Nothobranchius furzeri: one gene and its partner. The protein of the gene in region 1 purifies or fractionates together with the protein of each later gene. This does not show direct contact. Links are inferred from orthologs where the notes say so. Each region holds a gene or a part of one and is shown on either strand. Other genes may lie near its edges.

Evidence for each region.
Region 2: the proteins of gemin5 (region 1) and snrnp70 purify together in Homo sapiens (affinity purification with mass spectrometry; 4 studies listed by BioGRID and IntAct, counting the BioPlex papers as one, with this or other methods). This does not show direct contact. The link is inferred for Nothobranchius furzeri from reciprocal best matches to the Homo sapiens genes GEMIN5 and SNRNP70.

Annotation. Positions count from the first base shown.
Region 1 is NC_091750.1:72,358,768-72,362,583, reverse strand, and holds part of gemin5 (gem-associated protein 5), read right to left. Parts: intron 3,687-3,816; coding exon 3,505-3,686; intron 3,391-3,504; coding exon 3,239-3,390; intron 3,159-3,238; coding exon 3,060-3,158; intron 2,995-3,059; coding exon 2,862-2,994; intron 2,745-2,861; coding exon 2,579-2,744; intron 2,368-2,578; coding exon 2,155-2,367; intron 2,077-2,154; coding exon 1,991-2,076; intron 1,768-1,990; coding exon 1,685-1,767; intron 1,224-1,684; coding exon 1,090-1,223; intron 961-1,089; coding exon 887-960; intron 531-886; coding exon 349-530; intron 1-348. UniProt on the Homo sapiens protein: The SMN complex catalyzes the assembly of small nuclear ribonucleoproteins (snRNPs), the building blocks of the spliceosome, and thereby plays an important role in the splicing of cellular pre-mRNAs.
Region 2 is NC_091758.1:13,870,676-13,874,491, forward strand, and holds part of snrnp70 (U1 small nuclear ribonucleoprotein 70 kDa), read left to right. Parts: intron 1-390; coding exon 391-445; intron 446-517; coding exon 518-582; intron 583-669; coding exon 670-732; intron 733-1,805; coding exon 1,806-1,887; intron 1,888-3,816. UniProt on the Homo sapiens protein: Component of the spliceosomal U1 snRNP, which is essential for recognition of the pre-mRNA 5' splice-site and the subsequent assembly of the spliceosome. SNRNP70 binds to the loop I region of U1-snRNA.

The DNA of each region.
Region 1 (3,816 bases):
GGAACCGGTGCTAACCACAAACAGCCCCCTTTCACAACCAGCTGAATGTGTACGGTTCCGCTTATGCAAATATCATACACAAAATGCTGAAGACTAACTAGAAATTCACGAAAATTTTATAGAAATAAAAGAATCTTGTTTATTGGGTCTTTGGTAATTTAAGACCTTTGGAAACTGGATTTAAGGATTATTTGTCATTTTTAAGGATCTTTAGGGCCTTAAATTTGGAAAAGCAAATTTAAGACTAAGACGTTTTAAGGGCCGTGGATACCCTGTAGAATGTAATATCTTCAAATGAAAGCAGATTTTTTCAAATGTAGTAACGGATGACAGGAGGACTTGCTGCACCTAGGACGGAGCGGAGGTCGTGCACGAAGACGATGGCGTTGCTGGAGCCGGAGGCCAGCAGGGCGTGCAGCTCAGGGGCGGAGCTGTGGTCGGGGTGCCATCGTAGCGTGTTGATGATCTTGTGATGCTGCTGGATGCTGCACAGCAGCTTCAGGTGGGGGGGCTGGTACACATCGATGCTCCTGTGAGGGGAGGGCGAAGAGAAGCATGGTTATGAACACATGAGGATTTTAAATTAGCATCCTAAAACAAACCTCAGTTAAGCTCTGAATCAAAGTTGCATTTTAACCAGAAGCCGCTACTCTGGAATAAATCGGTTTTCCTGACACGTTCTTGGATTTTCTTCTATCCAACTCCAGAACCTCTCAGAGGTTTAAACTCAGACGATTTCATGCTGAGTAAGGATGAATATAAATGAGATCAAAGACACATAAAAACATTTTGACGCCTTTCGGTCTGATTTGGGCATTTAGACAACTCGGAAACCCGGAGGCCTTGCTGTGTAGCGATTTGGGTCGAGCCCCCGGAGGTCACTCACCCATCCTCGTTGCCAATAGCAACAGCCTTCCCATCTGGTTTCCAGCTGAGGTCTGTGTGTGGAGACAGTTTGTGCTGTTGGAGGTAAAAACATTTGGTCAGCACAGATCCAGCCTCGGCCAACACGACACCAGCAGGTTTTAGGTCTTCAGCCATCACCGGGTAACCCCAGGGCGGGCCGTGTGGCATTCGGACCCCACCCACCTGGATGCTGTTGGTGTCCCTGATCAGCTTATCGATGTCTGCCGCCGCTCTGCTCAGCTTGGATGGGTCGTGCTGCAGGATGACGCCTTCACCGGAGCAGCTGTACAAGCTGTAGCTCGCTTTTCCTTCTGCACCTGAACGCCACAAAAACAAATGTTTCTGAGGATGACTCAGCACAATAAAACGATGAGTCACTTTAGAAGCAGGTTTGCTGTAATCTGGGAGGGGCTAAGTCCTGTTTCAGGTTTAGCCGTTAGTTTCTTTTTATCCTGTCCCTCCGTAATCCCAACATCAGCAGCTTTAATCCCCACAGAACGGAGACAACGAGGCAACGCTGCAGATGAAGGAGGCATCAGCAGATCAGTGGTGCTGCAGCCATCAGGGCCCAGTGGCCCAGCTGATCCATGTGCTCATCACAGCTGATGGGAGGGGCGGGGCTCTTTCTATTACAAAGTTGACTACAAAAGGCCACATGGAGACGTTGGGATTTTCTGCTGACTCGTGGTTTCTCCAGGCGTCCCATGGTGCAGACTGTGCTGGGTCAGAAGATTCAGAGCAAACAGCAGCAGCTGCCAGGAGTTCAACAGGAACTCACCCAACGACATGGGGAGGACGGCGGGCCCCCAAGCCAGCGTGTACACGGTTTTCCTGTGGTAGGAGCTCGATATCTGAGGAGGCCTGGGGGAGAGCAAGCAGAGCAAAGGAGCCGTCAGAGCTGCAGAAAAACCTACGAGCTGAGTTTCAGGATTAAGAGGTAACGATGAAATAAAGTTCATGAAAGTTTAATTTAAGGAGTTTTATTTAAAACGATGAATAAACTGAATCAGAACATCCTGGAGCCGATTAGGAATGTCATCTGGAAAACCGATGACACCAGAGGTAGTTCCACCGAGGATCTCACTTGTTAGAGAAAACGTCGTAGATCCCAACTTTTCCATCATCAGTCCCAAAGGACAGCCAGCCTTCTTTCCTCGGATGCCACGCCAGCTGCAAGAGACGGGAAACGGATTTATAACCAACCTGAGGAATTTACAGGAATGTTTCCAGGAACGGAACCCGCCGCACCGCCGTGACTTTGGACTTGATCCCCTGCCAGAAGGACCTGATGTCGTACTGGTTCTGAGAGCTCAGCGTGTTCCACACCCGGATCATGTTGTCGCCCACGCCGAGCGCCAGGCAGGCCACGCCCACAGGAGAGAAGGTCAGGGTGTAGACGTGACCCCCCAGGGTGGGGAGGGTCCAGCAGCAGCCTAAAGACTCCAGGTCCCAGCATTTAATCTGGACCGGATCAAGAAACAGTTGGTTCTGATTTGATTCTCTCTCTCCCACTCACTCACACTCACACACACACACACACACACACACACACACACACACACACGCACACACACACACACGCACGCACGCACGCACGCACGCACGCACGCACGCACGCACGCACGCACACGCATGCACACACACACACACACACACACACACAGTGACCCACGTCTCTGTCCATGGAGGTGCTGATGAGCAGCTCTTTGCCGTCCTGCAGTTGGACAGAACTCATGTTGAAGACGATCCGGTTGTGGTTCTGACCCTCAGACGACGATCCGAACAAACTCCACCTCTGTTTTCCTGTACTGGCTAAATCCCACATCACCAACTCCCCACTGGACTCACAAACACACACAGAAACCAGCTGGAGTTAGACACGAAAGGAAATTCTGGGATGGTTCTGGTTTTGATAACATGAGAAGTTGCCCTCCGGGTCATCCGGACCGCCTGACCTGAAGCAGCTGGATATGAGTTGTGTGGGTCTGCCCTTCGGCCAGAGGACGTTGAGCCAGATCCTCTCTTTGACTCCCGGGTCGACAGCAGAACCTCTCCTCTTCAGGAACGGCAGCTTCAGCGTCATCACGCCTGAGACGGCAGAAGAGTCAGCCTCTGTGATTTTAACCTGCTGCCACTAAAATCAAATCCAGCACCTTTTCCCTTCGCTGTGCTCCAGATCCGGACCGTCTGATCTTTGCTCCCAGAAGCCAGGAAGCATCCCGTCTCGCCTTCTGTTGGAACTCCATCAGCTCCTGCAGCAGACCCACACATGAAACCCGAGATCCACGTAAAACGTGCACTTTAGTTTTGACAGAAGGGACATCAGCGTTACCGTCTCCATCCTCAGCTCTGCTGCCGAAGGCATCCTCTCCAGTCACAGGACACCAGGCCACAGAGTGGATCTCGTTGTCGTGTCCACGGAGACGTTGCATCACTTCGCCTTTCTTACTCACATCGATCAACACGATCATTCCATCTTTATACCTACAAAAGTGTTTCATCGTTACCGTTCACCTCTGAAACACTGGGGAGCAGAATGTGTGTGTGTCTAACACATGGAGTCCCTTTGACCCATGTGCTGCTCTGTTCTGGTCCTACCCGACAGCCACAGACTTCCAGCTGTGAGGAGAACAGCTCAGGCAGAAGATGGTTCTGGGTTCTGGGAAGAAGCTGGCCGTATCTCCGGTGTGGAACCAGTGGCAGACCACCACACCCTTCTCGTCGCCCGAGACCACCAGATTTTTATCCGCAGGGGACCAGTGCACCGCTGAGACGGGATTCTGAGGGGACAAAATAACTGATCACTTCCTGTTTGTTGTTTTTAATGGTCAATCATTATCAGCTGACAGGGTTTCCCCACCAGGCTAAGCCCCGCCCCCTCCCCGGCCCTACCTTCTCCACTGTCACGGA
Region 2 (3,816 bases), on another chromosome or scaffold:
TATTTAGGTTCATTAACCTGGGCTTTTTCAGATGTCTTCTGTCAACGTGCAAACACAGAAATGTGAACATTACCCCCAGGAGCCAGCGACCTGTGAGGCTTCTCACTGCTAGGTGCTCTGCTCTTTTCAGCTGAGTTTACGATGACAAACAAAACACTCAGGTCCTAACGCTCTGTGTGAACATCGGTGCAGCAGAATGCCTGATGACCCACCTTTCTGTCTTAAACACAGCGCCGCTACTCAAACATGTAATTAGGTGAAGCCCTCGTTTCTATATTTGACACCCATCAGATCATCATTCAGAAAACGCATCAGCGGCAGGTCTGGATCATGTCACGCATCCTTTTGTTTTCCTGTTGTGACTCAAGAGTTTTATGTCCTGTTTTTCAGAGGCGGGAAAAGATCGAGAGACGCCAGACGGTTTTGGAGACAGAACTGAAGCTTTGTGAGTGGGACATCAGATGTGTGCTGTGGTGCAAGGGTTTATGTTGACGCTATGTTGTATGTGTGATTTCAGGGGACCCCCATAATGACCCAAATGCACAAGGGGATGCGTTCAAGACGCTGTTTGTTGCCCGAGTGGTTAGTATGAAACCTGTCCTTAGTGTTAACTCTAGAACGAGTGTGTCACCGCTGCTAATGCTGGGTGTAACCCCGTCTCTCCTCCAGAACTATGACACTACGGAGTCCAAGCTTCGTCGTGAGTTTGAAGTCTACGGTCCCATCAAACGAGTGAGTTCATGGCTGATCTGCAGAATGCATTTGCATAGGGATGCACCCATGTGAAAATGTGGGCTGATTTTAATATGATGTTGCGTCCCATAAGTGATATTTACCAGTGTTTTATTAAAAAGGGTTTTTTAAAGAAAGATTGCACCTCATAGAAAACGTACTGTCATTTGTCAGGTGCACCTGAATGTAGCCTCGTCCAGAACAGAGCTATTAGATATTTATTAGGGGTTCATAAGTATATTACTGAGGTGGCCCTAGAGGGTGATGGGGTGGGAACCCTGTCTGGTCAAACGGCAGACCTCACCAGAAAGGTTTCTAACTGGGACAAATCTGATATCTTTGCTCTAATTTCCTTTAATAAATGTACATTTTTATTTTTTAATCATTTACAACTCAAACTTTCAACAGCTCCACCATTTGTTTAAATTTAAAGACCAGTGGAAATTTGATGTGCTTAAAAATTTATATTCAGTTCAGAAGTGATTTTATGACAGAGCCTTATGTTGCTTGTAATCTAAAAATAGGCAACAATCACTTTGTGCACAGTTGCGCACGAGGGTCCTGCCTCTCGCCATTGCAGTGGGGCGATGCAAAGGGTTACAGGAGGAGCAGCGTTTGTGTGATTTTAGATGTTCTAGAAGATGAATTTCATTCCCTGTTTATAGTCCCGATGTATAACAATAGTCTCCGATTGTCCGTTTGAAAAGATTCAGAGTAAAAATCCTGATGTATTTTGGTCATTTAATGGCAAAATGTGAAGTTGGCTTTTTGATAAATACATATAGTGTTAAAACCTAGACAACAGGTACTTCATCCCGTTGTGTCTAATGATTTTGTAAGCGTATGTCCATTTCTTCTTTTGTAAATAGTGTCTTATGAGCCTTTATGGACTGGGCACGTGTTGTGCATGACACTTAAGTAAAATGTATTTATTCATTCATGTCCTCAGCTGTAAGTACCATAATCGTACATAAAAGGTGGGATGGTGTTGTTATGGGAACCGGGCTGACACCGCTCTTGGTGTTGGTCTGAATGGTTGAGCTAACCAATGTCTTCATGTTTCTGTCTCCCAGATTTATATAGTCTACAACAAGAAGACGGCAAAGCCCCGCGGCTATGCTTTCATTGAGTATGAGCATGAGCGGGACATGCACTGTGAGTACCAACCTCTCTGCAGCCAGCTCATTCTGTATGTCAGCACACTCATGGGGTCATCTCTGACAAAAGGGACTTTTTTCATTTAAATTTACTTTAAAAACTTTTTAGCTACAGTTGTTGGGTGGACCATCTGATGGGGCAGATGATGTCATACCATCCAAGTCAGCAGATGACAGTTTACAGGCGAACCGTTTGCATGAAGCCATAGTCTGTTGTGCGTGCGTGTTTGCTGGGCATGTCTGATGTGTTGGTTAGTTAAAACCTGGGTTTGTGGGAGGGTGAGGCAGAGTGATCTATCTGGGGAGCGTAATAACGGAGGTCTGAGTGTGTTTTATCTGTGAACCTGAACATGTTTGCTTGTCGAAGGGCACATTGTTAACTGAGAGGTGTTGTAGTTCTGTGGAAGAGGCGCTCTGCTGGTTGGACTGTGATGGTAAGCTCAAGGTCAGACTGGACACCAAACATTGATGGAGCCTTTTGCTCGACACTCGTTGAATCCCACTTTGTCATATGACTAGCTTTGTGAGGTCTGTCCATTTTTATTGCTAGTCTTCAATTCTGGTCATGGTGAGTCACGGTACAACTCATTTGGTAAGATGGTTCTTAGTTTTTATCCAGTTTTGGTCTAAAGTGAACCAACTGTTATCTAAAGCTGAGTTTATGCTTCTTGGTTGGGTCGGTGCAGAGCTTCTAGTGTGACTACCATAACAGTCTGTAGAGGAACCCACCTAATAGCAGTGGGTGTTTTATCCCGATAGCTCTCTGTGCCTTTCAAACAATGGGGCTCGTGATCAGTGTAAACAAACCGTGTAAACAAACGTGCGTCGCAGAGTTGGGAGAAGGGACGTTAAAATCTCAGAGGATGCAGGATACAGGAATATGTTAAAGACGTCGGAACCGCTATGTGGACAGAATCAGCGTTGTAAACTGTTTGGATTCATGGGTGTTTCTCAATGTCAATTGCTCGCGGACCGTGTCGCTGTCAGCGGAGAGTCGATGCGCTCGGAACGCTTCCCTTCCATGCGTCTGTGTGTGGGGATCTCTAGGCGTGGTGCGGCGCCTGAGCCTGTGTAGGGGAAACACTGGCTTCCGATAGAAAACAGACGGTGAAAGTCTAGGATTAGAAAATCCTGACAGATCTACGTCACACTGTCACTATCATTCATGGACTCACCATCTTGACTCACGACGGGAAAGGCTGTTGTTCGTTTAGCGACCAGCAAACAGCAGAGATCGTGTCCGCTAGTAGAAGCTAACCATTAGCAACTCCACCACACAACAAAACTCCTCCAGGCTTGTTATTTTTATCTTGAGAGGCGCTACATAAAAGATTTGTTTTCTTTCTTTTTATTTGTGGAGGTAAAACATCAACGTTGCAAATCAGTAGTAGAGTGAATTTTTCTAAGCAAAACCTCTGAAAAGGAACAATAAATATTTCAGGAGTTCAAAACCTTTATACAATGTAATCATGCCCTTTATCAATAATTTAAATAATGTGTGTGTGATTTACATGTGTTAATACAGATGTGAAATCAATTCATGTAAAATAATGTGACTATTTCTCAGACTGCAATCGTATCACCAAAATATATCATTGTTGCAACCCTAGTTGTATCAGTGCGCCTGCATTTGCTTACCAGTATGTATGTGTGGCCTGTGTGTGTATGATGGGTAGGGCTGAAACAAATCATCGAATGGTTCGATTCATTAAATTCCTCAATTCATTATTTTTTACTGATTCAAACACTTTTTACTGGCGCACTATGTGCTGATCTTTGTAATATACAACTCTCTGATGACTTACTATTATTTTTATTCTGAGCTACTACAGCAGGTCTGAGATTGATTAAGTATTTTTGAATTTGATTTGAATTGAATTGAATTGATCTAGGTGCAGTGGAGGAGAATACAGGAACCAGCAGAAAC